4 linked regions of the Pelodiscus sinensis genome follow. The protein of the gene in region 1 purifies or fractionates together with the protein of each later gene. This does not show direct contact. Links are inferred from orthologs where the notes say so. Each region holds a gene or a part of one and is shown in the gene's direction. Other genes may lie near its edges.

Region 1 (7,532 bases):
CACATCCCCAGATACATTTTAAAATAGTTAATTACTTTCACTTTTTTTAAGTGCACTTTATTTCCAGTTTGAAGTGCCTAGCTAAAATATTCCAGATGTAGCACCAGCTGCAATTGTCTTTGTTGGGCAGTCTACTCGCTCTTAGATTTATTGTGTGTGGTGGGGCAGAAATACTTTACTTCTTTGGTGTGGTTCGTGCACTGGATTACACCTTTTAACCTGAGAGAAGTAATTATTAAAAAAAAAAACCCTCAACATGGGAAAAAGGGAAGTTAAAACAGTTAACTGGTTAAACACTAGCACTCAATCAGTTAGCATTTTAATTCAGGGCTTTCTGGCCATGTTCTTCCAGTCCAGCTGCAGCTGAGAAGCCTTGCTGTGGCCATGGAGTCCCACTGCCCAGCTCCTCCACTGCTGGGAGTAGTCTGGCCTGGCAGGGTAGGCTGCTGGCAGTGATCACTGGCAAGGGCTGGTTAGCCAGTAAGCATTATCAGTAAGTCTCTTGCTTACTGGTATACTTACTGGTTAACCATTTAATATCACTAGTGAGAAACATTTATTTTTCCTCATTTAAACCTTGATTGGGAATGCAAACTTTATTCAGAGAGGAACTGTTATTTCCTGAAATGATGCCTTTAAATCCAACTGTGTGTCATCAACAGCTGGAATAACAGAACAGAGTATAAAAACAACAAATGGTCTGGTAGCACTTTATAGACTAACAAAACATGTAGACGGTATCATGAGAATCTACATATTTTGTTAAGTCTATAAAGTGCTACCAGACCATTTGTTGTTTTTTTCTGTAACAGACTAACTCGGTTACTCCCTGAAGCTTCAGAACAGAGTATGATTGTAAAGAGTACTCAGGGTGTCTCACTGGCCCTTACAGAAAGAAAATAGGAACTGGGCACAATAGGACTGCAGAAATGACCCCAAAAGCCACTCTGACCTCAGTGATAGCTCACATGTGGCAACAGACAACACACAGTGTATTACTGCAGAAAAGAACATGAACCAAGGCCCCTTCATTAATCACATTGGATTTTCTTTAATACATTCTCCAATAGTCCCCTGTAGATATGGCAGAAAGGATTAGATTTAACATTTCACAAAAGCTGTAGGTTCAATATACACCTTAAAGGTGTCTCACATCTTTCACCATAGGCTGGAAATATCATCCACTTTGAGCCTTGCTGCCTAATTCTACAGGGGTCTGGTGGAGCAGACCACTGTGCAGAAGGGATGCCGTGGCCTGACCTCATCTAGTGTGTGTTGCCAGATCCCACATCTAAAAGAAGTTATTCTCCCTTTAATTACAGCACTGAGCTTCAGCAGAAAACAGTGTTCCTGTGGCCCAAACCGGCCGCATGGAGAAACAGGAGATTAACACACACAACACTTGAAATAACCTATGTCCAGAGAAATGTTAACTTCATGGGTTATCGTTCCACAGGCTGTGTCCTTCCCCAGTCACCACCCTGCCCCCAGTCACTTCCCTACAAGCTGTGCTCCCCCAGGCACTGCTCCCCCGCCAGTCACTGCCCTACAAGCTGTGCCCCCAAGTCACTACCCTGTCCCCGGTCACTCCCCTACAAGCTGTGCCCCCAAGTCACTGCCCTGCCCCCGGTCACTTCCCTACAAGCTGTGCCCCCAAGTCACTGCCCTGCCCCCGGTCACTTCCCTACAAGCTGTGCCCCCAAGTCACTGCCCTGCCCCCAGTCACTTCCCTACAAAATGTGTCCCCAAGTCACTGCCCTGCCCCCAGTCACTGCCCTACAAGCTGTGCCCCCAAGTCACTGCCCGACAAGCTGTGCCCCAAGTCACTGCCCGACAAGCTGTGCCCCCAAGTCACTGCCTTGCCCCCAAGTCACTGCCCTACAAGCTGTGCCCCAAGTCACTACCCTGCCCCCAGTCACTGCCCTACAAGCTGTGCCCCCAAGTCACTGCCCTGCCCCCAGTCACTTCCCTACAAGCTGTGCCCCCAAGTCACTGCCCTGCCCCCAGTCGCTGCCCTACAAGCTGTGCCCCCAAGTCACTGCCCTACCCCCAGTCGCTGCCCTACAAGCTGTGCCCCCAAGTCACTGCCCTGCCCCCAGTCGCTGCCCTACAAGCTGTGCCCCCAAGTCACTGCCCTGCCCCCAGTCACTGCCCTACAAGCTGTGCCCCCAGTCACTGCCCTGCCCCCAGTCACTGCCCTACAAGCTGTGCCCCCAAGTCACTACCCTGCCCCCAGTCACTGCCCTACAAGCTGTGCCCCCAAGTCACTACCCTGCCCCGTCACTGCCCTACAAGCTGTGCCCCCAAGTCACTGCCCTGCCCCCAGTCGCTGCCCTACAAGCTGTGCCCCCAAGTCACTACCCTGCCCCGTCACTGCCCTACAAGCTGTGCCCCCAAGTCACTGCCCTGCCCCCAGTCACTTCCCTACAAGCTGTGCCCCCAAGTCACTGCCCTGCCCCCAGTCGCTTCCCTACAAGCTGTGCCCCCAAGTCACTACCCTGCCCTCAGTCGCTTCCCTACAAGCTGTGCCCCCAAGTCACTGCCCTGCCCCCAGTCGCTGCCCTACAAGCTGTGGCCCCAAGTCACTACCCTGCCCCCAGTCGCTGCCCTACAAGCTGTGCCCCAAGTCACTACCCTGCCCCCAGTCGCTGCCCTACAAGCTGTGCCCCCAAGTCACTGCCCTGCCCCCAGTCGCTGCCCTACAAGCTGGGCCCCCAAGTCACTGCCCTGCCCCTAGTCGCTTCCCTACAAGCTGTGCCCCCAAGTCACTGCCCTGCCCCCAGTCGCTGCCCTACAAGCTGTGCCCCCAAGTCACTGCCCTGCCCCCAGTCGCTGCCCTACAAGCTGTGCCCCCAAGTCACTGCCCTGCCCCCAGTCACTGCCCTACAAGCTGTGCCCCCAGTCACTGCCCTACAAGCTGTGCCCCCAAGTCACTGCCCTGCCCCCAGTCACTGCCCTACAAGCTGTGCCCCAAGTCACTGCCCTACAAGCTGTGCCCCCAGTCGCTGCCCTACAAGCTGTGCCCCAAGTCACTGCCCTGCCCCCAGTCACTGCCCTACAAGCTGTGCCCCAAGTCACTGCCCTGCCCCCAGTCGCTGCCCTACAAGCTGTGCCCCAAGTCACTGCCCTGCCCCCAGTCGCTTCCCTACAAGCTGTGCCCCAAGTCACTGCCCTGCCCCCAGTCGCTTCCCTACAAGCTGTGCCCCCAAGTCACTGCCCTGCCCCCAGTCACTGCCCTACAAGCTGTGCCCCCAGTCACTGCCCTACAAGCTGTGCCCCCAAGTCACTGCCCTGCCCCCAGTCACTGCCCTACAAGCTGTGCCCCAAGTCACTGCCCTGCCCCCAGTCGCTGCCCTACAAGCTGTGCCCCCAAGTCACTGCCCTGCCCCCAGTCGCTTCCCTACAAGCTGTGCCCCCAAGTCACTGCCCTGCCCCCAGTCGCTGCCCTACAAGCTGTGCCCCCAAGTCACTGCCCTGCCCCCAGTCGCTGCCCTACAAGCTGTGCCCCCAAGTCACTGCCCTGCCCCCAGTCCCTGCCCTACAAGCTGTGCCCCCAAGTCACTGCCCTGCCCCCAGTCGCTGCCCTACAAGCTGTGCCCCCAAGTCACTGCCCTGCCCCCAGTCGCTGCCCTACAAGCTGTGCCCCCAAGTCACTGCCCTGCCCCCAGTCGCTGCCCTACAAGCTGTGCCCCCAAGTCACTGCCCTGCCCCGTCACTGCCCTACAAGCTGTGCCCCAAGTCACTGCCCTGCCCCCAGTCGCTGCCCTACAAGCTGTGCCCCCAAGTCACTGCCCTGCCCCCAGTCGCTGCCCTACAAGCTGTGCCCCCAAGTCACTGCCCTGCCCCCAGTCGCTGCCCTACAAGCTGTGCCCCCAAGTCACTGCCCTGCCCCCAGTCGCTGCCCTACAAGCTGTGCCCCCAAGTCACTGCTCTGCCCCCAGTCGCTGCCCTACAAGCTGTGCCCCCAAGTCACTGCCCTGCCCCCAGTCGCTGCCCTACAAGCTGTGCCCCCAAGTCACTGCCCTGCCCCCAGTCGCTGCCCTACAAGCTGTGCCCCCAGTCACTGCCCTGCCCCCAGTCGCTGCCCTACAAGCTGTGCCCCCAGTCACTGCCCTGCCCCCAGTCGCTGCCCTACAAGCTGTGCCCCCAGTCACTGCCCTGCCCCCAGTCGCTGCCCTACAAGCTGTGCCCCCAGTCACTGCCCTGCCCCCAGTCGCTGCCCTACAAGCTGTGCCCCCAAGTCACTGCCCTGCCCCCAGTCGCTGCCCTACAAGCTGTGCCCCAAAATCACTGCCCTGCCCCGTCACTTCCCTACAAGCTGTGCCCCCAAGTCACTGCCCTGCCCCCAGTCGCTGCGCCGCAGGCTCTTCAGCCCCTCAGACACTCCCGTCTCCCCCATCCACTGTCCCACAGGCTCGGGGCCTCCCACGGCCACTGCCCCGCCCAGCGCTGTCGCCTCCTCCCCTGGGGCGGGCGGTGGTCCAGGCAGCCACGTCAGCCCGACCAACCTCCCTCACGCAACGCGCGTGCGCGGCGCTGTCCGGCTGAGCTGTCCCGGTGACAGGCTGGCAGGAAGCAGCGCCAAGGCCGGAAGTGGAGGTGCTGGATAGAGACCCCCCCCCGGCTCGTGCGGCCCCCGCCCTCCAGGCCCCGCGCGCCCCCCGCCCGGCGCAGGGCAGGATGCTGAAGAAGTTCGATAAGAAGGATGAGGAGGCGGGTGAGTGTGGGACGGGCCCGCCGCGGGGGGGCGGGGCGGCCGTGCCCAGCGGGGTAGAGGACCCCCCCCCCCCCCCGGCCGGGCTCTCCTTCCGAACGCGCCGCGGCTCCGGGGCTGGGCTCTGCTGGTCAGCGTCCGTCCAGCCCCTTGCCACGGGTGTCGGCCCCTTCCCGGGCTGCCCCCCAGCTAGTGACTTTTCCAGGCGGCCCCCTTAACTCTGCCCACAGCCTTCCTCAGTGGCTCTGGCGGAGCCTGCGAGCGTTGCAGACCCCCCCTCCCCCGCCCCCGCCCCAGGAAACTTTGGAGTTGGGTGGATGTTGAGCCAGCTCAGCCCTGGGAGGGCTCCGCTTTAGGGCATTGATAGCACAGGAACAACCCGCCAAATAATCCTTCATTTTCTGCCCGGATCACCTCAACTTGCTTTCCGTTGATTTATCCCCCCCCTCCCCCCCGCTGCACTGCACTGCACTGCACTGATGTCTCAAAGCGAGATGTACAATGAAGGGCAGGTGATTAAGGAGGATGCACCTGAAATGACATAGATCTCCAGCCAAACCCTAACTACTCTGTCCCCTCATGCTCTGCCTCCTCTTCCCTTCCTCCCCATGTCTTGACTCGTTGTCCCCCCCAAACTGGTCACCGGCCCATCCAGCATATGTGTGGACAGCTTTAAAAATATATGGCTGATGTATCAGATGTACCAATTGCAAGTTTATAGAGTAACCTCTGATCCTTTTAGTGGCAGCTTACATTTTGGGGTGGGTGTGTGTGTGTGTGTGTGTGTGTGTGTAGCTTACATTTTGGGGTGTGTGTGTGTGTGTGTGTGTGTGTGTGTAGCTTACATTTTGGGGTGTGTGTGTGTGTGTGTAGCTTACATTTTGGGGTGTGTGTGTGTGTGCAGCTTACATTTTGGGGTGTGTGTGTGTGTGTGTGTGTGTGTGTGCGTAGATTGCTGTTCAAGATGTTTGATGTCGATGTGAAGCAGGAGACAAGTGTTTCTCCTGGTGAAAATATTGGTGTCCTGATCTTTGCAGGAGAGTAGCACTGATACAAAAGTAGGGGTTGGGACTCAGGAGGCATGGAGATGAACACAGTATAAAAAGAAAAGTGGGGATTGGATAAGTATTGCGGAAATTATTATTGGACACACTTGATCCATGTCCTTTACACAGTATTTGAGTGCCACACAGCATTGGAGGATGGACCACAGAATTTGGAAATGGAGAAACTCAATTCAGCTCTCATGGCAGTTCAGGATGGTGAAGTAGTTCAGGGAGCTGTGCCACCTGCACTTGACACAGTAACCCTAGCTGTTCTGTATATTAATACAGGACTTACAGTAAGAAACTGACTATTTAACATGTATGTGATAGGTTATATCAGCGAGGTCCCCTCGGGACTGTCACCTGATATGCTGATCATGCCACTTAGCCTGCCAATCTGTCTTCTGGGGCTCTCCACCATCGTGCCCTGCTGGGCCAAAGCTCTCCCCCAGCCCAGGCGCAGAGTTGGGGCCATAGCTCCCTAGCAGAGCAACAAAGATGTTGAACCAGCTCAGCCCTGGGAGGACTCAGCTTTAGGGCTTTGATAGCACAGGAACATAGCCACAAAGAGGACCAAAACCCTGGGTCCCTTCTCCTGGTTTTAGCTTTTAAATGGATTAAGAGCCATCAAGCTCTCTTAATCCATTTAAAAGACTGGTGTGCAGCAAGGAGGGAGGGGGATCCTGCATGAGTCATGAATCAGCTGTCCTGGCTCATGCTGGGTCTCTCCTGCGCTTTAGCCTTTCCATTTAAAAGGCAGAGATGCAGTGGGGTTAGCTCCCGGGTGGGCTTCCTGCTTATCGACTAATTGACTCCCTGCTTGCAGATCCCGTTGCGGCTTCCTGCTTATTGACTAGTGGATGTTAAATTTAGTTTAATCAACTAATTGATGGATTTTCCATCACTACTTTGTTTTCAGGTTTCTTCCTGTGTGTCCTCTTAGCTTTTGAAATTGCCTCCCCAACCCTATCTGATGACAAAAGACTGATTTTTTTTTTTGTATAAACTTCCCAGGGTGGGAACCCTTTGTTTTATTTTCCCACCCCAAGGAAAAATACCTTATTCAAGATGGATTCCAGCACCAGGTTTCTAGGACTTACCACAGTTTGGACTTAAACGTAAAAACATACTCATTTACAGATCATTGTCTTGAGTGCTGGGCCATTAAGTTTCTTTAAATACCATTAATGGTTTTCACTAGAAGACTTACATTAATAAAACAGGTTTACATTTCATATTTCTAACTTCACATACAAGAATGAAACATGCACTGAAATAGAAGATACACATTTAGCAGATTATAACTTTAAAAATGTTACATGATGCATTTTGCTGAAAATGCCTTTGAGTTATGCATATTCATATTCATAAACCAATTTTAATAAAACACGGGGAGCCTCGTGACCATGTATATGAGAAAAATTATCGTACGTGTCAAACCACGTGTTAAAAAGCAGCCTAGAAACTGACTTATAGACTCTCCAAGGCTGTGTCTACACTGCACCCCTTTTCCAGAAAAGAGATGCAGATTAGACAAGTCGGAATTGCAAATGCAGCGGGGGATTTAAATATCCCCCGCTTCATTTGTATAAACATGGCTGCTGCTTTTTTCCGGCTCGGGGCTTTGCCGGAGAAAAGCGCCAGTCTAGACGGGATCTTTTGGAAAATAAAGCCTTTTCCGAAAGGTCCCTTATTCCTCTTAAAATCAGGAATAAGGGACCTTTCGGAAAAGGCTTTATTTTCCGAAAGATCCCTGTCTAGACTGGCGCTTT
Region 2 (6,962 bases), on another chromosome or scaffold:
TAAATGGTAAGTTTTCAGAGTGAAGAGAAGTAGCTAGTGGGGTTCCCTAAGGGTCTATCCTGGGACCAATCCTATTCAACTTATTTATAAATGATCTAGAGAAAGGGAAACAAAATACAGGACTATGTAGCACTTTAAAGACTAACAAGATGGTTTATTAAATGATGAGCTTTCGTGGGCCAGACCCACTTCCTCAGATCAAATAGTGGAAGAAAATAGTCACAACCATATATACCAAAGGATATAAAATGAACACATTTTTTTAATTGTATCCTTTGGTATATATGGTTGTGACTATTTTCTTCCACTATTTGATTTGAGGAAGTGGGTCTGGCCCACGAAAGCTCATCATCTAATAAACCATCTTGTTAGTCTTTAAAGTGCTACATCGTCCTGTATTTTGTTTTAGCTACACCAGACTAACACGGCTACATTTCTATCACTAGAGAAAGGGGTAAATGGTGACATGGCAAAATTTGCACATGATATCAAAAGTCTCAAGATAGTTAAGACCAAAGCAGACTGTGAAGAGCTTCAAAAAGATCTCACCAAAGTAAATGACTGGGCAACAAAATGGCAAATTAAATTTCATGTTGATAAATGTGAAGTAATGCACATTGGAAAAAATAATCCCAACTATACATACAATATGATGGGGACTCATTTAGTTACAGCTACTCAAGAGAGATAGCTTGGAGTCATTGTGGCATGAGAGGGCAGTGCCCAGCAGCTGGAGGGAGCTGGGATGAGCCGAGGCTTCCCCGGACCAATGGATGGAGGCAGGGTGGTGGTGGGAGAAGGGGGGGACAGGGATTGCTGGGACTAAGAACTGGGGAGGAGAGAGAGAGGAGAAAGCCTGAGATTGGTTGCGAGAGGGCAGTGTGGACTGGAGTGGCTGTCAGGCCAGCTGAGTCTAGGGCAAGGAATCAGATGGGCCCAGGCTGGGAGCCAGGATGGTGTGTGTTAGGGTAGTTTTGACAGGAAGGAGGGAAGGAGATAAATGGAACAAGCTGGGCAGGACTCCTGGGAGTGGTCCGAGTATGTTGGGCAGGCTGGAATCAGAGAGGCGGGTGGGGGGATCCTGCTGGGTGTGCTGGGCACTGACTGTGTAATCGCCTCATGGGGAAGTGTCAGTGGAGCCTGAATCTCCTATTCCTTTGCCTCACAGGGACTTATTGAGGAGCTGTCAGGCGCTATCCTTACCAACTCCCTCACTACTGTGAGCAGGCTCAGGTACTAAGCCCTTCGCAACTGGCTCCCTAACCACGGTGCTGCCCCTCCCACTCTGAGGCTCCCTCCCAAGCATGGTTTCTCCAGCAGAAGGGGCAGGAAGGTTCCTTGTTTTCTGCCTGAACTCTTCTTTTTGCTCCAATAATGCTATGGGGTTCTTGAGGAGAGGATCCCTCCCAGGTCAGATACAGGAGAACAGCAGAGTCAGGCCATTGTCTGTCTGGGAAGCCTTCACATCCCCTGTGTCAGTGCCTCAGTTTCCATTTTTGCCTGCCTGGGCCTGTTCCCTGTGGTTTCACATCCAGGTTGGTGCCAGTCCCACTCCTGCACTGCAGTCTAGTATCAACACCTCTCTCTTGCCAGCATCATAAATCCTGCCCTGGAGCCAGAGCTGGAGATGTACTTCCTGAGAGCTGCCCTGCATGCCGTCTTCACCTCAGGCAGGACACCTCCTAAGGGGAGAGAGATCTTCAGCTCCTCCCTGCCAGGATCAGAAGTGACCTTTGGTCCCTGCTCCCTTGATTGGCTGGAGCTCCAGAGCTAGGGGTTGGTGTGCAGAGATGGAAGAAGATGCAGTGTTGGATCCTTCCCTCGAGGGGCATCATGTTACCCTCCCAGGAGGACTTCTTCCTTCCTTCCTTACATAGCAGGCTATGTTTTGCCTAGGTGCCATCCATAGCAGCTTGGGTCTTCCCTACTTTGTTACCTACGAGGCCCTCCACAGATTCCTCCTAAGGTCATGGATTGAGGAGCCAGCTGGCACCCTGCCCTGAACCCTTGTTAATTGCCTGCATTGGGATCTGAATGAGCCAGGCCAGTACTTTATAGAGACCCACATCCTGTGGCAGGTGTAACCCAAGTTTCCCGAACTCTGACCCATAGCTCTCCTTTGCTTTGCAGAGTCTGAACCTGAATGCCAGGCTGGGGAACCTGCTGGCGAAGTCCTCGGCACAGACAGACCCTGTGGTAAGGCAGAGAGCAATTTTACCTTAACTCTGAGGAAGACTGGCAAGGAAAGACTGGAGGATCTATTTCCCACTTTGTCCTCCTAGTTCAGCCCCCAGTGGACTGTCCTATGTCAGGCAATTGGTGCAATGCACGTGTTTCACGCTCCTCGTTCCTTAGCCTCATCTCTGGGACTTCCCCTCTCTGGCTGCTCTGACCCAAGACTGTCTTTTGAGCTGGGGGTGGGAGTGGAGCACAGATGTACTGAAATCATTGGAAACAGTGAGCGGGGCTGGACAAAGGGAGGGACATTCCTAGGCCAGCTTGGACAACTAGGTCCCAGCTAGGGTTGCCAGGTGTCTGGTACTGAACCGAACAGTTCAGTATTTTCGCCTCCTGTCCGGTAAAAAAATCCAGAAAATACCGGACACCTGAAATGTCCTGTACTTTCTGATTTTTTTCCCGGCTAGGAGGCGAAAATCCCAGGCTATCCAGCTTAATACAGAGAGGTGCTTACCGGATTCTGCAGGTGAACTGTTCAGCCTGACACAGGGAGGCAAGATGGTGAGCGGCCACCATCAGCCTGTTAAGGCCAAAAAGCCTCACCATGCATTTCTTAAAGGGGCCACACTCTGTTTTTTTGTTTTTTGCTTAACAACTCTCAGGGGCCTTTTTTTGGTTCAGTATTTTTTCCAAAACCAGCTGGCAACTGTAGTGCCAGCCTGGCTCAGGCACAGGGCTCGCTCCTCTGCTACAGCCTCACAGCTCTGGGCATGGAGCAGGAGCGATGCAGTGAGAGGGGAGCGATGCAGTGAGTGATGCAACTCCTGGGGCAGGGAGGGGAACAGCCATAGGGAAGGGAAGTCACTGCCCAGATGAAGTGGCTGGGGCTACAGTCAAGCCCAGCAGTGCTGCAATGGGGCAGCTGTGGTGACACAATTGGTGACCGATCAATTTTTCTATCAGTAGTAGGTACCACCAGACATCCTCTTTTTGCTTACTTAGCAAATTCTGTCAGCCAAGATCCCCATCTATCAGCCTCTGCTATTTGCCATGGGTTCAAGACTGCCCTTCACATCCTCTGGTCCAAGACTCCCCTTCTGATTTTTCTTCCCCAGGCAGGCCAGTTCGTCCATTGTCACTATATCTTGCTTGATCCCAGGGCCTGCCCACAACATTTTGGGACCTGAAGCAGGACTCTCAAATGATGCCCCGATGCCCCCTCGCTTGGGCCAAAACTTTGAAAGGTCTCAATTCTGCCTTCTTCCTGCTCTACTCTGCCCATGGTACTGCAGACAGAATACACATGCATCAGCAGCAAACACAATTTTCTACATTCTAGGTCCTAGTGGTGCCCCCTCACAGTCTGGCACTTGAGGCAGCCACCTCAGTTCGCCTCATGGTAAGGCCAGCACTGCATGATCCCCCCCAGACAAGTACATTTCTGCCCCCTACTCAGACCCTGCTCACCCACCGGCTGCGACGTGGCCCCTTTGCAAACTCTCTAAAGAGCAAGCAAGGGCACGTGCCAGGGAACCTGCTCAGTTCGGATGCGCATGCTCAGTACCCTCCTAAGCAGGGCCTTCGGGGCGGGCGCTCGGAGTCGCAGCGTTGGTGTGAGTTGGAGCCACGCCCCCCGCGCTCTGATGAGGACACCCGGGGGCAGTGACGTGGCTGCTCAGCTAGTGCCTGCCTGGAGACCGCGGCTGGAGGTCGCGGTCACGTGGTGTGAGAGCCGCGCATGCGCGGGGCTGTATTCCCCCCTCCCTCCCCCCACACACACGCACCGGAACCAGGCGACTTTGTGCCTTGCTGCGCGCGGAGGAGGCGTGTCCTGCTGCGGCCGCCGTAGTACCGATGTGGCCTGTCGCGGGGAGTGGTTCCACGTCAGCCACCGCCGAACGGGCAGAGACGGGGCTCCGGGGGTCCCGCCGCGGGCAGCACTGGAGGCAGGTACAGCGCTTCCAGGGGCTCGGGGCGTGCTGCGGGCCGTGGTCGGAGAGCGGCCCCCGCCCCCTTCCGGAGCCGGCGGCCTCGCTCCGCTCTGCCGGGGAGTCGGGCCAACGCCTGGCCGCGGGTGCGAGGGCGGGTAACCGGCGCGGCCCCCGCGCAAGGGGGTAGCGCGCCACGGAGCCGGGCCCTGCGAGGTCTGCTCGCGCCCCGGCTTGCTGAGGCAGCGAGGTTTAACCGTCCTGAGATTCGTTTTGCCCCTGTGGGCCCGCAGCAGTTACCCGGGCTGCCCGCAGGATCCCACGCCGCCTGCCCCAGCGCCTCGCACGGGCCGGGGCCGAGGCTGCAGCTTTGCTACGAGTTCACCTCTGCTGGGAAGCGTCGTTCTCTTGGGGCTGAAACTCTCCGTGTCAAGTAAAATTGTGGAGAGTTTCAGCAAAGACCCACTCAGCTGGTGTGTGTGTAACTTCTGGGTTTTAAACGTGCTGCTTGTTGTGATCACGTAGCAGTATCGTTAAATCCATGGCGTTACGGTGCACACAAGGACAATGACAAGTTGTAGCTGTAGGTAGCTATAATAGAGGTTATGAAGTAAATCTTTGTTTACTATTCTTTTTAATAGTACTTTGTGTGCTATTTAAGTTCCTCATCTTGCAAACATTTGAATAACTTTGTGCAGGAGTATTCGCTTTGAAGTTAATGGCCCGTGCTTAAAATTAAGTCAATATGAATTTTCAGGTTTGGGGCCATGGTATTTTTTTTTATATATAGCCATTCTGTGGTATGTTGACATAGAGAATATTATAGTTAGGAGTGTTAGTGTGTAATTGAAGTCATGTGATTGCATCAAAATTTAGCAGTTACATGACTATTACATAGTCCCTGGGGACAGAGCTGGCAGTCAGTGCACTCTGGCCCTACTCATGGGGAGCCCCCTGCCATCCTGTGTTGCTGCCTCTCAGAAGTAGCAGTATGGGGTGGCAGATGGGAGTTGGTCTGCAAGGGGAGCTGGCTTAAAAACAGAGGCAGGAGCGTGGGACGGTATACCCTGTATGCTGCTCCACATCCCACAGAGCAATCTCTGTCCACAGCAAGCCTGGATGTGCCAGGACAGGACAGGACAGGGAGGGTGGGTGGGGGGCAAGCGACTCCACAGAGCCAGTGCTTCTGTCCTCGTCCCCATGCCCCGTTGCCTCTGTAGGAGGCAGAAAGGAGGGGCAGGCAAATCCATATGCGTATTTGGATCCTGCTTGCCCCCTTCACCCTCGGTGCTGCTGCTGGAATTAGCAGTGCAGGGGCAGGGATCCGTGGAGTCGGTGCCCACCTGCCCCCCCTTGCTGCCTCTGATACAAAGGCAGCAAGGGGGAGAGAATGCCTGTAGTCAACAGGATTAACCAATAAGCCTTGGTTTATCAGTTAATCGTGTAGTCATTTACATGTTGACATCCCTAAGTATAGTTACTATCTGAAGTGTTTCATTTTTTCATAAAAAATAGGAAAATGTGAACTAAAACATGCGCTTTAAAATTTTGAACTAATATTGTCGCTAGTTTTCATCAGGGAATAGTTACTTAGAAAAATGACAGTTTTTGAACTGATGATGTAAGCTGGAGATATAAAATCCTGTTTAACTGGTTAATTATATTGTTTAACCAGTTAACCGATTTAAAGAGGGGTGAGTGGGGGGGCCCCTGTCTGCCTCTGGGTGGAATGTCCCCTTCCCTTCCCTTCCTCCTCCTCCCCAGGCAGAGGCTGCTTCAGTCCAGTCAGAGCAGCCCCTGGCTGTAGCCTTCCCACTGCAGGCAGGGGCTGCATGGGCTGGGATGCCAGAACATCCCCTGCTTGTGGAGGTCCAGGGTACATGTCAGGCAGGGGCTGTTCTGGCATCCTGATTGGAGCAGCCCTTGCCTGTGGGGTGCACACCAAAGGCAGGGGCTGTGCTAGAGTAGTCCCCTGGCTGCAGTAGGCAGGGAGCTGCTCCACCACTGGTAAGCCTCAAATCCCTATTATAAGCAATTATAAATTTACCTTGCAATCTTGATATGTTTTAGCCTGTGTCTTCAGAGAGTGCTAAAATATGTGCAGTTGCTGAAAAACAGTTATGCAGCTCTGTAATTCTAGGGAATGGTTTAGGGCATTGGGGCTCAAGCAGAGTGCAAATACCCTGGGGGGATATGCAGGAGAGGAAAAGTCAACTCATACGAATATTTGCCTACTTTTTCAACATGATACATAAAAAGCACTAGCAATATCAGTACAAACTAAATTTTCATACGAACAATGACTTATTTATACTGCACTATATGTGATGCACCAAAACGTATTCCAATTGATTTATAATTGGATGGTAAAAATAAAAGAGCAGTTTTTTTACTAACTGTTGTGATGCTTTTGTATTTTTGTCTGATTTTTATAAGCATTTTTATGCAGTTATGAAATGTTTTATATTAGCACCCTGTTTTATATACACTAATCAACAATACTTGATTATGCTGTCTATGAAGTCTCACATGGGTCTCAAGATAGGGTAGGGGGAGCAGAACATTTGTATTAGATGCCATGTAAAAATTCTCAGCACTTGCTGCATATTTTGTTGCACTTATCATCATCATAAGCTCAAAGTTTCACATTTCTCAAAATGAGTAAGTTCCAGCAGGTGAGCTCATTGGGACACAAGATCACATGGGTAGTTGACATTGATGTAGTCCATTATCATAATTCTGATGGAGCTTTTAACTTTAGCAGACTTTCAGACTTATCACAGTACCCTTAACCATCTTGATGCTGCCTTTTCTTTGCTTTGGAGTGTTTGGAAAAGATATCCACATTGTCCTGTC
Region 3 (7,066 bases), on another chromosome or scaffold:
GTCTCAGGATAAGAGCAGGAAAGGAACCACTGGACTTTTTGCAGGAAGGGCACAGGAGTTAGTGACAGCATAAAGCCAGGAGCTGAATTGTAGTCAGAGTGCAGGGAAATATGGTGAGGGATGGTGATGCAGGGACACACAGCAACAGGTTCCTGTATAAATGGGGAAGGGTAGGGGTCTGCATGGGGGGAGGCTCCCTAACTCCCTAATAATCTCTTCCTATCCCCCAAAGTACCATACTTCTCCCTCCTACATCCAACTGCCCTCCAAGTTCACACTCAGACTCCTTTCCACTACTTCCATCTCTCTCAGCTTCTCTGTTCCTCCTGTTCCCCCAAGTCTTTGCACTGGCTTCTGAGGAGTGCAGAAAATACATGTCTATTTTGTAATTTAAATTAATTATTACTCAAAGTTCTGTATTAATATTCCTAGTAAGTAATTTGACGAATATTTCCTGGATTTTTTTGTTCTCTATATTGCTAGACATACTTGCTCATAGGTATTTTGAAATAATTACCAAAATAATTGAATCTGACATGATTATATTGTATCATTTGAACAAATAAAATATGCAGAACTTTAAAATATTGGGTGCAGAATGTTTAGTTTTTTATTCAACATTCCCCCAGAAGTATTAAGAACACAAAAATATAAGAACATAAGAATGGCCATACTGGGTCAGACTAAAGGTCCATCTAGCCCAGTTTCCTGTCAGCCAGTAGTGGCCAATGCCACATACCCCAGAGGGAGAGAACACAACAGATAATCTGCACATGAGCCTTCTCCTGTTACCCATTTCCAGGCAAACAGAGACTAGGGACATCATTCCTACCCATCCTGGCTAATAGCGATTGATGGACCTAACCTCCATGAATCTATTAAGCTCTTTTTTGAACCCTGTTAAAGTCCTGGCCTTCACCACATCCTCTGGCAAGGAATTCCACAAGTTGACTGTGTGCTGAGTGAAGAAAAAGTTCCTTTTGTTTGTTTTAAACCTGCTGCCTATTAATTTTATTTGGTGACCCCCTAGTTCTTATATTGTGGGAATAAGTACCTTTTCCTTATTCACTTTTTCCACAGCAGTCATGATTTTATAGACTTCTATCATATCCCCTCTTGGAGTGTATCAACACTGCATGGCTAAACTTGAAATAAGCTATGCATGTTGAGTTACATCAATTGCGTATCTTATTTCAAAATAGCTTATTTTGAAATAGGGAAAGTCCTCACAGCATTTATTTGGAAATAGTGCACTCTTTCTCCGACTTCCCTTACTCCTCGTACAATGAGGGTTGCAGAAATCAGAGTAAGAAGTCCTCCAGCTTAACAGTATTTTGACATTATTTCGAAATAACTGCCTGCTGTGTAGATGCGGACTAAGTTATTTAGTAACAGAGCTGGTTATTTCGAAATAGTGTTACAGTGTAGATGTACCCTTAGTCTCCTTTTTTCTAAGCTGAAAAGTCCAAGTCTTTTTAATCTCTTTTCAAATGGGACATGTTCCAAGCCTCTAATCATTTGTGTTGCCCTTTTCTGAACCTTTTCCAATATATTTTTTGAGCTGAGGCGACCACATCTGTATGCAGTATTCAAGATATGAGTACCATGATTTTATATGGAGGCAATAAGATGTTCTCTGTCTCATTCTCTATCCCTGGTTTTATGATTCCTAACATTCTATTTGCAGTTTTGACTATTAATGATTCCAAGATCTCTCTCTTGAGTAGTTGTAGCCAGATTAGTCCCCATCATATTGTATTCCATGGAATCCTACACTCACTCATCTGGCAGGGGAGATATTATGGCTATAAGGTAGTTTTCCCTTTGTGAGGCTATTGCACTCCAGTTGTGGTGACTCCTACCATATCTCCAATTATGGGAAATATGACTACATAAGTTGAGTGTGGTGGAAACTCCGAGGTTAGGGGAGAGTAGGAGGATGGGCAATCCAACAACCACCAGCTGCTTCCGACTCACTATTTAAGTCTTCTTCCCTCTCTGTGCAAGATCTTAAGTTCCCCAAAGATAAAAACAAATCTCGTGTATGCTCATATGCTCCTTAGAACACTCTTCCACTTCTTTCTCCAACACTGATGTTTTTGGTTAGCTCTCTTTCTTCAGTTTCTCCTGCTCTCATGACTTATAAGCATTTCAAGGTTTACAATACTATATATCAGCTCTCCTGAATTGTGAATTGGCCTGGGTTTTTATTGTCCTTCTAGTTTCTGATGTATTCGAGAAACATATGCATAACTTATTAATTCTATTTGACATTATACTACTATGAAAACTGCTGTATTGGCAATATCCTTCTGTGTACCCTCTATGAGCTGATGGGGTTGTCAAATCTCTGCAATACCAAGAACAATGATGAGTCATTGTTACAGCTTGACAACTGATCAAAATGGTTAGAGTAAGAAGGGTATGAGAGTTGGGAAACCAGGAGGCTGGGGGTTTGGAGCAGTGGAAAGTTACCAAGACAACCAAAGTGACAAGTGACTAAGAAGCAGGGTAGATAAAAATCAACAAATTAAAAAAAAGAAGAAATCAGATATTTTTATTTAATCAGATTTTTTGACAATTTTTTTTGAGGAAAAATGTATCTAAAGATAGTTTCATTTACATTATAGCTCAAAGATATATCAACATGGAATAGGGATTATAAATTCTAATTTTATACAATGAAACAATATATTAATGTAGGCTACGTCTACACTGGCATGATCTTGCACAAAAACTCTTTTGCGGAAGAGTTCTTCTGCAAAAACTCTTCCAGAAGAGAGCATCTACACTGGTATGTGCTTTTGCGCAAGAGATGCAAGAAAGTTCTGATGGCCATTTTAACCATAGGGCTTTCTTGCGCAAGAAATTCATGTTGCCTATCTACACTGGCCTCTTGCGCAAGAACAGTTGCGCAAAAGGGCTTATTCCTGAGTGGGAACATCAGAGTTCTGGGGCAAGAAGCCCTGATTTCATACATTAGACCGTCAGTTTACTTGCGCAAGAATACACGGCCAATGTAAACAGGCAGAAAGTTTTTGCGCAAGAGCGGCCGCTTTTGCACAAGATCGCGCCAGTGTAGACACAGCCCTAGTGTTTAAGAAAAGTTTTGTAAATGAATTCCAATAGTTCATGGATTATGGACCCAATCTTATGGGATTCCAGAAGGTTCTGTATAGATTATTTAGGTTAATCTTTCAGTGTACCCAATAAGACTCAGTGCTCAGTCCAGAAGATACCATCAGAGATGCTTAGTTTTGCAGTTCTTAAACTGTGGATCTGTGTCTCCAGAGTTAACATTGATTCATAATAGCTATTCCCTCCGTCCCTCTTCCTCACCCCACCTTCTGTACTAAATCTGATGTCAGTTTAATAATGTGTTTGCTTTTTCATTGTATTCCTTTGGTATATATGGTCATGCCAATTCTCTTCCAGAATATGATCTGAGGAAGTGGATCTGGCCCACAAAAGCTCATCACCTATTAAACCATCTTGTTAGTCTTTAAAGTGCTGCATAGTTTTTCCTTTTGTTTTTGCAAGATCAGATTAACAGGGCTGCCTCTCTATTATATTCTGGAGCACCTGGCATTATTGGCCACTGCTGGCAGACCGGATGCTTGGCTAGATGGACCTTTGGTCTGACCCAATGGCCCTTTGCCCCTCATCTTGCCCTAGGCTAATGTCCAGAGAACTGCGGGGAGCATCAGTGCGAGGCTCTGCGCTTGGGCGGGGGTCACGGCCACGAAGTGAACAGTCCCCTGCCGGCGGCTCGATGCCCCCGCTTCTGTAACTGGGATGAAGAAGGGACGCTTTGGAGACCCCCGCATAGAAACTACAATTCCCAGCATGCGCCGCGGCGCACCTGCCCACGGCCGCTGGTCTCACTTCGCTGTGCAATGACTACGTGTCCCAGGATGCATTACGGCACATATGGACTGCAATTCAATCAGGCAGGCCCCGCTCCTAAGGCTTGATGACAGCACCTCTGAGGGAAGCTGGTGCCGTGGCCTACTTTGGTCTCCGTTGGTCCTGAACCGTGGGGACAGGAAGTCTCGTCCTCGCGATGTTTCAGATGCGGAAGCGCTTGTGTACGGCGTTCTCGCTTTTATCCCTTATCTCGCGAGACCTGTAGGGCCGGAAGCTCCACGTAGTTCAACTGAGTTGGAGTCGGAGAGCGACGTCTCAGCTGCTGCCGGGTTGGGGGCGGAGGAGCCATGGTGAGTCCGCGGCGGGGGGCGAGGGGAGCTGCCCGCGGGGTGTCTAGAGCTGATCCCTCGCCGGGGGGCTGTCGGGGGCCGGGGCGCTCCCGCTCCTGCAGGCCGGCGCTGTCCCCGAGGCCGCGGGCCGGGCTTCAGGGTTCAGAACGCGCGCCCCGGGGTTGCTCAGCGATGTCCCAGGAGGTGCATCAGCCCAGCCCATCTCGCTATTGGGCTGGTTTTGCAGCAGGTTGCGTGAAAGGCCGAAGGGAGCCAGTACAATTAGCGCTGTCAAGCGATTAAACGTTGGGTGTTAGTGACGGGTAAGGCCATTTGTTTAGTTGGCATGTTTGCTACTTTCTGCACGTTTGCAAATATGACTTCTGTTACAAAATAGAATAGAAAAGTGCTCACTTTATTTTTATTACATGATTTTGCTCTGTTAAAAAAATATTTATTCAGTTCCCATTAAGTGTTGTAGTGCAATCTCTTGATCATGAAAGTTGAATTTATCATGAAATTAGAATAATGTACAAAAAAACTGCATTCAAAAATAAACTAATGTAGAGCTACTCCAGTGGTGGGCAGTAATTTTTGTAGGAGTACCACTTCACCATTGTTGGTAGTGGCTGCAGGCCAGGTCCAGGGGGCGGGGCCTTAGATGGAAGAAATGGGCCTTGGGTGGAAGAGGTACTTTAGGCACTGCCTGCGGGTGAGGGGAGGAAGGCTGTGTATGCTCCTTAATGGGTTGTGGGATTGAACAATGTCTACTGTCCCCAACCAGCTGGGGTGCACAGCACCTAAAAGAAACCATCAGCTGTTTTGAACAGCTGGTGTTTCCTCTGGCGCTGCACGCCCTGGTGGGGGAGGAAATGTCACGTGCTTTCCCGCCCTCCAGGTCTGATTAGCATGTGTGGAGTGGTGGGGCAGGGTGAGCTATGGGCTGGATTAATGGCTGGGTGGGCTGAATCTGGCCTGTCCTCCTTCATGTTCAGCAAATCACTCAAACTTGTTCATTTACACTTCCAGGGATAATTTTACCTGTTAACATGTCACCTGAAAGTGAGACCACATGTTTACTTTCTACTTTTGATACCTGTTCTTCCCTTGTCAGATATATATAGTAGCCCAGTGTCTGTAACGATGACGTACATGGCCCCGCCCCAGCCATGTACATCACCTCCCTGCCCCCATTCCTCTCCTGCTGTGGTGTTCGACTGAGTGCTGTGCCACTCAGCTGGCCCGCGGCGGGGGATCAAGCAGCGGCAAGCGGCCGTTTGGGGTCCGTGCTCCCCATGCAGCATCGCTTGCTCCCCTGCCGCTGCCCAGCTCCGTGGCGTAGCACTCAGCCGAGTGCCACGGTGGGAGGGGAAAGAGGTGGGTGGTGACATACACGGCCAGGGGGCGGAGCCGTGTACGTCACCGAACCGACCCCCTTCCTCTCCAGCTGTGGCGCTCGGCTGAGTGCTGCGTGCTCAGTCGAGCCACCGTGGGAAAGCCCAAATGGCCGCTTGCACCGCTGGCTCCCCCACAGCAGCCTGGCTGAGCATGCAGCACTCAGTTGAGTGCCACGGTGGGAGGGGAAAGGGGGGGCGGGGCGGTGATGTACACGGCCCCGCCCCCTGGCCGTGTACGTCACTGCCTGACCTCCTCCCCGCCCCCCCCCCCCCCATGGTGTCCCAGCTGAGTGGGCAGCACTCAGCCAAACACCACGGCGGGAAGGGAAGGGGAGCGGGGAGAGAGGCAGGAGAAGAGAAAAGGGAGAGTGAGAGGCAGGAGGGGAGAAGAGAAAGAAAGAGACAGAGGCAGGAGGCGGAGGAGAGCTGAGAGAGAGAGGGGGAGGCAGTAGGAGGAGGGGAGAGAGACCAAGAGAGACAGAGACCGGAGGCTCAGGGGAGAAGACCAAAGCGGAGGAGAGACCTGAAAATCCCATCTGATGACAGGCTAATTGGCTAGTAATTAAGAAGTGGGTAGCATTATCTCCATTAAATATAAACAAATGTGTATGTCTTAAGAGTTGGCTGAATAAGCAATGGAACTGAATGTATTTGTAGGTGCTAAAGTTTTACACTGTTTATTTTTGAGTGCAGTTTTGTAACAAAAAAAATTATAAGTTGTGCTTTCACAATATAGAGACTACTAAAGTGATTTTTATGTAGTGAATTGAAAAATACTATTAGTGCAAATATATTAATTGAATTATAAGATGAGCACTGTACTCTGCATTTTGTGTTGTAACTGAAGTCAATGTCATTGAAGACCTCCAAAAATACTTAATTTCATTTTGGATGCTGTTCTTAACTGAGTGGTCAAAACTGCAATTAATTGACAGCCCTAGTACAACTTAAAATTTCATACAGATGATGACTTGTTTGTACTCTTCTACATACTAAATTAGCATGTTTCAACTGAGGAATTATTATTTATTTTATAGTTCTACTAGAAGACTTACCTGTCATTCCTCAGGTCCTTCAGAGTAGGGGAGTTGAGGTGTAAGGGGTGCAGGAATCAGAGCAGGGAGTTGGGAGATGTGAGCAGGCCCAGGGGAGGGGGTAGAGGCATCTGGTGGCTGCTCCCCAGGGATAATTGAGCTGTGCTGCCAGCCAACAGCTGCTCCCCGGAGCTGGGGTGCTTACTTATCCCCTTCTGGTCACTAGTAAGTATAACTCTCGCTATCACACCTCCTCACTTTGTGTTTCACAAACAGTCGCATTCCATGCACATCCCATTGTCTTGGCACAATAAAACCCTGTCCTTGCTTTAAGTTTTGATGAAAGGAAGCTGCAAACAAATTGTGGTGATTCTAGCTTTTACTATTTAGGAGGAATTCTTGAACAAATTGATTCATAGATGGACACGCAGAATCAGGG
Region 4 (7,488 bases), on another chromosome or scaffold:
ATTTAATTATAGAAAGCCAGAGAGCATTCAGAGCTCATTCATCTTCATTACAGCTGCACTCAGGAGACCTGATATCCACCAGAGATAATGATCCCATTTACACACTCATTCAGCTTCCACAATCAGTCGCATTATCCAGTATGAAACTGCAAACAAGAGAAATTATTGTGTTCCAGTCACGTGGGACAGAAATCCAAATCTCAGACATACTGGAAGGATAATTCAGAGGTAAAACTAAGAATGAAATTCTGGAAAAAAACAAACAAACCCTTAGAAGATGGCAAAATTCAAGAAAAGGAGGATTGGACAATCAGACAAAAGGCTCTACTGAATGTACCTGAATAGCAGAAGTGAAGCTGAAGAGGAGGAGTTGGATCCCTGAGGGACACTTAATAGTAACTACAACAATGTAAGAAAAAAAAAGTACTAAGTGTGCTTTGATTGGGGTGATAGAGGCAGCAGAGTGGGGGGGAACTCCCTCCACCCTCTTTTAGTCTTGTTAATCCTAGCTTTCTAGGACAACTCAAATAATAAGGGGGCACCGAGAGCCATAAGTGGGTTTGGGTTCTTAATCCAGCACCCAATGTGCTGAGATTACTGCTGTTCCAACAAAGAGAAAAGCAAATGCTACTTTTCACTAAGTTAATATTGTTTTCATGGGTGCACAAGAGGGAAGGATCTGAAAGCTGTGTACCTTTAAGAAGGCATCAATGTCTCCAACAGCTGGAATAAAATCTGGAATGAAAGGCTGCAGTTTGTGTTCAAGCTCTATCATTTGTGGAGTGTACCTGAGAATAACACAAGCAAAGTATCATCCAGGAAAATAGTATTTCTTTCTGTAACCATTTCAACCACCCGAAGGACATTCCAACACAGACTCCTTATACTCACCTCCTTATATACTGGAAGAGCTCTTTAATCTCTGCAGACACTGGTAGATACTCATAATCTGCAGGGTTGTAGGCACTATAGAAAAGAGATATTCAAGACCAACAGATTCTGGAAGATTAACTTAATGGAGAACTTGTATCTGATCCCCTAGGGGTGTGTTAAAAGAGGAGAGGGCCTTGAATGCTTTCCTTAGCCTAGTATACCCATACTGGGGGCTGGATCTGGCTACAGAACAAATTTACAGATGAGATCAAAAGAATCCAGAGTTTGACATCTTTAAGAAATGCTTCAAATTCTTCCTCTTTGAAGATGTTTCCACCATAAGAACACCACTCACAACACCGATTACCCCCTTTCTTGATTGGAGTTTTAATTAATAATATCATAGTGATGGGCAGCAAACCAGACTCTCAACAAACTTATATTACAATACAATGTAATGATAAAACAATTACTTCCCTTGAGGCAGGCTAGCCTGCATGCTAGACATCTGTACTCTCTTTCAGACAATTGCATTCTGTCTTTGTCCAGCACAATGCTTTGAGTATATTAATGGGTCCACTAATATCCCTGCCTTCTGTTACTGCTAGTTTATCATACTAAGTCTGAGTTTTTGCCAGGCTACCTGGCTACGCTCTATGCTACCTCAAAATGTTCATGAGCAGGTATTTGTAGGCAGGAAACTTAACAGGCATACTTGAAATTAAGAATTCTCCCTGTGTCAATGAACACTTCAGAATCTTGCTTAGGAATCCAAGTTTTAAGTTTTCTAAGAACAATTCTATCTATGAACAATGCATCTTTACTGATGCATGTCAAATCCCAGTGACACTCGTCCTGTCCACACGGTCAATGGCATTCCCTCTACCCTACCCTCCCCCCTTAATATAGCTATATCGTTGTATCTTCATTTTTCAGGGCTGATACTCTGAAAACTTACTGTGCCATTGCATCTGTATATTATCTGTCTCAGCTTTTAAACCCCTTATCCCACACTGTCTAATCTAAAGACACATCTGCACAGTACTGTCAGAATATAACATTACTCATTTGGCCTGTTAGGATGGAACAGGTCTCTCTCATAAGGGAGATCTTGACTTTAATTCCAGTGGTTCCTCTAACTGTTCTTATAAATTGAGAGTCCTTCATACCCCTCCAAAGGGGCTCCATGCTCCTCTTCATCATCGTCATCGTCCGAGTCAGTTTCAGACGAATCATCCTCATCCTCTCCATCCTCGTTCTCACTAAATCCTCGCTGTGGGGCCAGTTGAGCTACCTTCTTTTCCTAGGTCATGTTAAAACCAAAGTTATGGTGCAACAGACGTTCCCAACAGCCCCATTTCCCAGCTCTGCCATTTTTCATTCTAAACAGAAAAACACCCTCTGTTCAAAGTTTGCCACATACGGGTGGCACTGCTGTGTGAAAAAGAAACTTCCTTGGGTGGTATGGAAAAGGAATGCCAGCACAGACAATTAATCTAGGGTTACTACTGCTCTTAGTCTGACCCAAATGCATGGGTTTCAGCAATGGGGCGGGGGGGGAGGAATATTTAGTTCTAACAAACAAGAATTTATCTTTTTTAGAGAATCTCAAAATGGTTTATAAACAGTACTCAGCCCTTTCCAAGGCAGTAAGTACTATGATCCCACTTTACAGCCAGAGAAACTGAAATAGATAGGAGAAAACTGGCTCACGCAAAGCCACACAACTGATTAGTACAGAGCTGGACATAGAACTCAGGAGTCCTGACCTATAGTCAGTGTATGTTCTCTAAACTGTAAAAAACACTCCCTACGTTTCCAGCCAAACGTGGGTGTAAGCTATTGATCTCTGACAACCCTCTTTTTATCCCACTTCAGCCACTGAACAACAGTGGGCCTGGTAAAAGCAACAAGGAGTCCTGTAGCACCTTATAGACTAACAGATGTATTGGAGCATAAGCTTTTGTGGGCAAAGACCCACTTCGTCAGTGGGCCTGGTATTCATTATATCCACACTGGATGGTATCAGCTACCATGATGTGAAAATTCCCTTCTAGACCGATTCTCCCAAATTCATATACATTGTTCCATCTGTTTTACTTGAAGAAAAAAGAAATCTGACCCCCTCCTTACCTTCTATTTCTAGTACAAATAATGTGTCTTGCCAAAAAGTACTGCAATTACATTTCTTTCTACTCAAAATGGGTCTTAAAAATAATCACAAAACATTAAGAAATTTCCCCAGTAGGACTCAACATACAGATAACAAGTCCCAGGTAGATGGGGGCTACAAAATGCTGTGATCAACTACATCAGCAAAGAAGAACATGGACAACCTCATACCTTGTTTATTTCTTCATCATACTCATCACTGCTGTTATCAGCCATGTTTTTGAGCTGTGAGCATGTGGACCTAGGACCTGCTGAAGAGATCATCAAGAAGGTTTCTGTATATATGCTACCCAAGCTTGGTTGTGAGATTGCAGCTTGGATTATCACATTGAGGCACCTATCTACACAGGCCCTACACTGAAGTTCTAACAGTCATGTTTACTCAATTGCAGCATGAGGCTGAACTAGACTAGACTGCAGCTGGGCTAGCCACGGTGGAAAAGCCCAAATCCCTATTCCACCAACCACGTGCACGCCTAGGTTTGTGACAATTGTCCTTACCGCATCTAGTCTCTCAAGCTTCTTTTTCACCCCCAGGGAACACCTTTGGTATTTAAAACGCGTGTTCTGCTTTACCCCCACAGCACCGTGCGTCCAGCGAATCCCAACGAGCCTGCTCCCCTCCAGTTTTGAGGAACTGAGTTTTCATCCCCTGGGGGAGGCTAAGACGCTGTAGCAGCGAGGCTCAAGCTGCCCGTCGGCATTTAGGGCGGGAGCGGAGGCGGCGGCGGCGGCGGCGAGGGAGGGAGGGAGCGGAGGCGGCGGCCCTACCTCGCTGCCGTGGAGTTGGGGTGTAGACACTGGCCACCTCTTCGGAGTCGTTGATCTCCAGGCTCTCGTCGTAGGGCTGGTTTTCCACTATTTTGGTCTAGTGACAAAGACAAGCGCGTCCGGGTCACTGTCGCTGCCGACTGCAAAGCGCCGGGAGCGGCCTGGGGCTGCCCGGCGGGTGCTCGGGCCTTTCGGGACCCAGAGCACCCGGGCAGCGCCGCCCCCTGCTACGGTTTCAACCCCCGCCCCCAGTCACCTGCAGGGCCTCCGCCATGTCCCGGCTTTCAGGGCCCTGCCCGAGGCCGGGCCTCCATCACCCCCTGTGTCCCGTCACCCTGGAAACTGGCTCTCGCGAGAGTTGCCGCCCCAGCTCTACGGCGGCCGGATCGAGTCACGTCCATGCGTCTCCTCTCCTGTGGAAAGGGGAGGGCGTCGCGCAGCGGCCCCTAGCGGCCGGGCCGCGTCACTGCAAGGAAAGAATGACAGGTGCGCGGGGCTGTCGGAGCGCGGGCTGGAACGCGCAGTCTGGGGGGGGGTGTTTCTGCTTCTCACCTGCGTGCGGGCCCCGCCCCTGCTCGCGCGCGCATGGGCCTCCCCAGCAAGGGGCGGGGTCTCCGGGGCTCAGAGCACCGCACCCACGCGGCGCGGCGGGCGGGGGAGGAGCGAGGTGCTCCCGCCCCCGTGCGTGGCGGCGCTTCCGGCTGGGGACGTGGCTCGGCGCCGCCATCTTGTGGGGCCGCGGGAGGGAGACGCGGCGGCCGCTGCTGAGGCCGCGGGAGACTGAGCGCGCCGGGCCGCAGTCACGCTCCGCCGCCATGGTAAGCGCCGGGCCGCGCTCCCGCCCGGCCTCTTCGTGCCCCTGCCTGGCGCCTTGCCGCGGCGGCCGCTCGCCCCAGGCCTCGGGCCGCCCGCCGGCGTGTGGCTCTCGGGGCCTCGCGTGGGCCTGCCCCGCTGTGGGGGCCTCTCCGCGGGCAGCCGGCGATGCCGGTTCCGGGCAGGTCCCGGGCCTGGCCTGGGACACCTCTGCCGCCCTGCCAAGCGGCCAGCCCCCTGCGGCGGAGAGAGGCTTGTGGCACCTCGCCGCTCCCGGGCTTGGTCACACGGCCGTGTGGACGGGTCTGAGTCTAACCTGACCGCTGGACATGGGCTGGGTAGATCCATGTGTAAGATCACAGCAGTACACACAGTTGGCTAAAACCTGTCTACAAACGTGTGAGAATACTGTAGTTCAACGTACTTTATTGCTAATGGTATTAACGTGCATAACCCTGTTGTGCAGATATTATCTTAAGTTTACGTTGGCAAAACTTGAGGTGCACAGCAGTTAAGTGGTCTTCCCGAAAATTACATGAATCAATAATATATCTGGGAAAATAATCCAGTTGTCCTCATGATCTTGTGACCTCAGACCTTGTGACCCTGCATTTGTGGGGGGTTTTAAATCTAGTCCAAGTACATTTACTTTGCTTGTCCAGTTGAAAGAGCCTTACTTTCAGAGATTGATTACTTCACACTGTCTGAATATCAGGTTCCTTTAAGTCATGTCAAGTGGGCATGAAAAATTGCTTACTAATCCTACAGTTTAATATTGGTCCAGAGTTTGTATAAACAGGTCAATACATCTATATGATCTATATATCAGCTTGGAACGATACAAATATATACATATATATAGCTTCATGTAGGGGATTTAAACGTGTATCAGTTGTATTCTGTTTTTTATGAACTCACATTGTAGCTCTTTGTATTGCAAAGAGGCTAGATTGGCTCCTAATTGCAGTAAATTACATTTGACTCTTTGTAGTAACAGGCTTGTACCCAACTTCAAGCATGTGGTTTTTGTGGCCAAGGATAGTATAATTTGCTTACATTTCTTGATAAATTAGTAAATGAGTGTTAAACAGCTTCATACCCTGTTAGAGGTGGAGAAACAACTTTGATTAGAGAAAAGACCTGTTAAATGATATAGAGGAAAATGTTACACATCATAGAGCTGGAAGAGACCTTAGGAGGTCATCAAGGCCAGCCCCCTGCTTTAGGCAGGACCAATCCCCACTATATCAACCCAGCCAGGGCTTTGTCAAGCTGAGACTTAAAAACCTCCATGGATGGAGATTCCACCACCTCCCTAGGTAACCCATTCCAGTGCTTCACCACCCTCCTAGTCAAACAGTTTTTCCTAATATCCAACCTAGACCTTTCACACTGTCATGACAGTATAGCAAGCAAAGTGCAGTGTGGGATAATTTGCACACAAGGACAGATTAATTTAAAAGAGCATGTACCTTTTGGGGTTGTTCCTTTGAATAATTGTTCTTCTTTCCAGCTAGTTTTGTGGTCTTTGAATTTACTGGGATAAATATTTGAACTGTGTTTTAAAAAAAAAAAGAGAGATAATTTGACTCTTTTCTTAGTAAGCATAATGCATCAAAATCAAGTGCTATATAACTTTGTTTCAGTTTCAGATTTGTACATAATATCAAATTCTTTCTATTCAAATATCCTGTGGTGTTTGAGGATTAGTTTGATATAATTCTTAACTATTCACATTTCACAGCTCCTTTAATGAGGAATTGCTTTGCTATAACCTTTTATTACTGGGAGAATATGTAATTTAATTTAGTGAGGCTAAGAACAATGTACATAAGAATGGCCATACTGGGTCAGACCATAGAGACCAGTCTTGTGTCTTCCAACAGTGGCCAATGTCAGGTGCCACAGAGGGAATGAACGGAAGAGGCAATCATCAAGTGAAAACCCTCCTCTTTCACCCATTCCCAGTCTCTGACAAACAGAGACTAGGGACACCATTCCTACCATCCTGGCTAATAAGCATTGATGGACTTACCCTTCATGAATTTATATAGCTTTTTTTAATCCCTGGTAAAGTCCTGGTCTTCACAACCTCCTCTGGCAAGGAGTTTCACAGGTTGACCATGTGTTGCCTGAAGAAATACTGTCTTTTTTGTTTTAAACCTCTTGGCCTTTAAAACAAATTCCAAACCAAGAATACCTAATTTAATTTTTGTCCCCTGTGAAAAAGAATCAAAATATTTGCAATGCAGCATAAGATATTAAGTATCTTTAACATGGCGTATCTCTTGCTTTCCCAAGGTAGTCTCAAGAAATTATGGCAGGTTGAAAATTCTTACTTTTTTAATGTGGGGTGTTTGTAATGTGCTCTCCCCACCCAGAAAGTACTATCTCCTAAGTAACAAAATTGTGAATTAATAAATGGAGCCAACCTTTTAAAACCTAGTTAAATATTGAGGTGTTAGACTTGCAATGTTAGTTAAATCTAATCAAATAAATCCGAACAATTAAATCTGATGTTTGTTTATATATTTGTTTTTAAGTTACAAGATATGCAAGCTGCCATATGCAATTGTTCAGCATAGCTGTACAAAGAGTGAGGACTTTCTTGAAATTCTTGATCTAGTGACCTTAGATTGTGCAGATCACTGGGACATTTTATATGTTAAAACAGTATTTTTATACTCTAGATCCTTGCAAAGTGGAGACTAAGGATGTGTTAACTTTTCTGAGTCTCCCGTATTGACGCACTAATCAGTACTAACAGGCCAATGTCCAAAGCCTGAAAAAAGTCCACTGTGACTGAACAGTGGAATATGCTCAAACCTGACATACATGCTTTTGGGTTGTCAGTGACTG

What was found.
Region 2: the proteins of COPG1 (region 1) and COPB1 fractionate together in Homo sapiens (co-fractionation; 11 studies listed by BioGRID and IntAct, counting the BioPlex papers as one, with this or other methods). This does not show direct contact. The link is inferred for Pelodiscus sinensis from reciprocal best matches to the Homo sapiens genes COPG1 and COPB1.
Region 3: the proteins of COPG1 (region 1) and COPB2 purify together in Homo sapiens (co-immunoprecipitation; 8 studies listed by BioGRID and IntAct, counting the BioPlex papers as one, with this or other methods). This does not show direct contact. The link is inferred for Pelodiscus sinensis from reciprocal best matches to the Homo sapiens genes COPG1 and COPB2.
Region 4: the proteins of COPG1 (region 1) and ARCN1 purify together in Homo sapiens (affinity purification with mass spectrometry; 6 studies listed by BioGRID and IntAct, counting the BioPlex papers as one, with this or other methods). This does not show direct contact. The link is inferred for Pelodiscus sinensis from reciprocal best matches to the Homo sapiens genes COPG1 and ARCN1.

Annotation. Positions count from the first base shown.
Region 1 is NC_134721.1:25,627,744-25,635,275, reverse strand, and holds the start of COPG1 (coatomer subunit gamma-1), read left to right. Parts: upstream 1-4,529; 5' UTR 4,530-4,680; coding exon 4,681-4,717; intron 4,718-7,532. UniProt on the Homo sapiens protein: The coatomer is a cytosolic protein complex that binds to dilysine motifs and reversibly associates with Golgi non-clathrin-coated vesicles, which further mediate biosynthetic protein transport from the ER, via the Golgi up to the trans Golgi network.
Region 2 is NC_134714.1:109,062,071-109,069,032, reverse strand, and holds the start of COPB1 (coatomer subunit beta), read left to right. Parts: upstream 1-3,952; 5' UTR 3,953-4,124; exon of another isoform or gene 4,125-4,128; intron 4,129-6,962. UniProt on the Homo sapiens protein: The coatomer is a cytosolic protein complex that binds to dilysine motifs and reversibly associates with Golgi non-clathrin-coated vesicles, which further mediate biosynthetic protein transport from the ER, via the Golgi up to the trans Golgi network.
Region 3 is NC_134720.1:11,280,743-11,287,808, reverse strand, and holds the start of COPB2 (coatomer subunit beta'), read left to right. Parts: upstream 1-4,062; 5' UTR 4,063-4,214; coding exon 4,215-4,217; intron 4,218-7,066. UniProt on the Homo sapiens protein: The coatomer is a cytosolic protein complex that binds to dilysine motifs and reversibly associates with Golgi non-clathrin-coated vesicles, which further mediate biosynthetic protein transport from the ER, via the Golgi up to the trans Golgi network.
Region 4 is NC_134736.1:861,749-869,236, reverse strand, and holds the start of ARCN1 (coatomer subunit delta), read left to right. Parts: upstream 1-4,477; 5' UTR 4,478-4,631; coding exon 4,632-4,634; intron 4,635-7,488. Other genes in the region: IFT46 (intraflagellar transport protein 46 homolog), read right to left, coding at 695-788, 892-966, 2,043-2,176, 3,217-3,296, 3,817-3,913, 4,073-4,090. UniProt on the Homo sapiens protein: Component of the coatomer, a cytosolic protein complex that binds to dilysine motifs and reversibly associates with Golgi non-clathrin-coated vesicles, which further mediate biosynthetic protein transport from the ER, via the Golgi up to the trans Golgi network.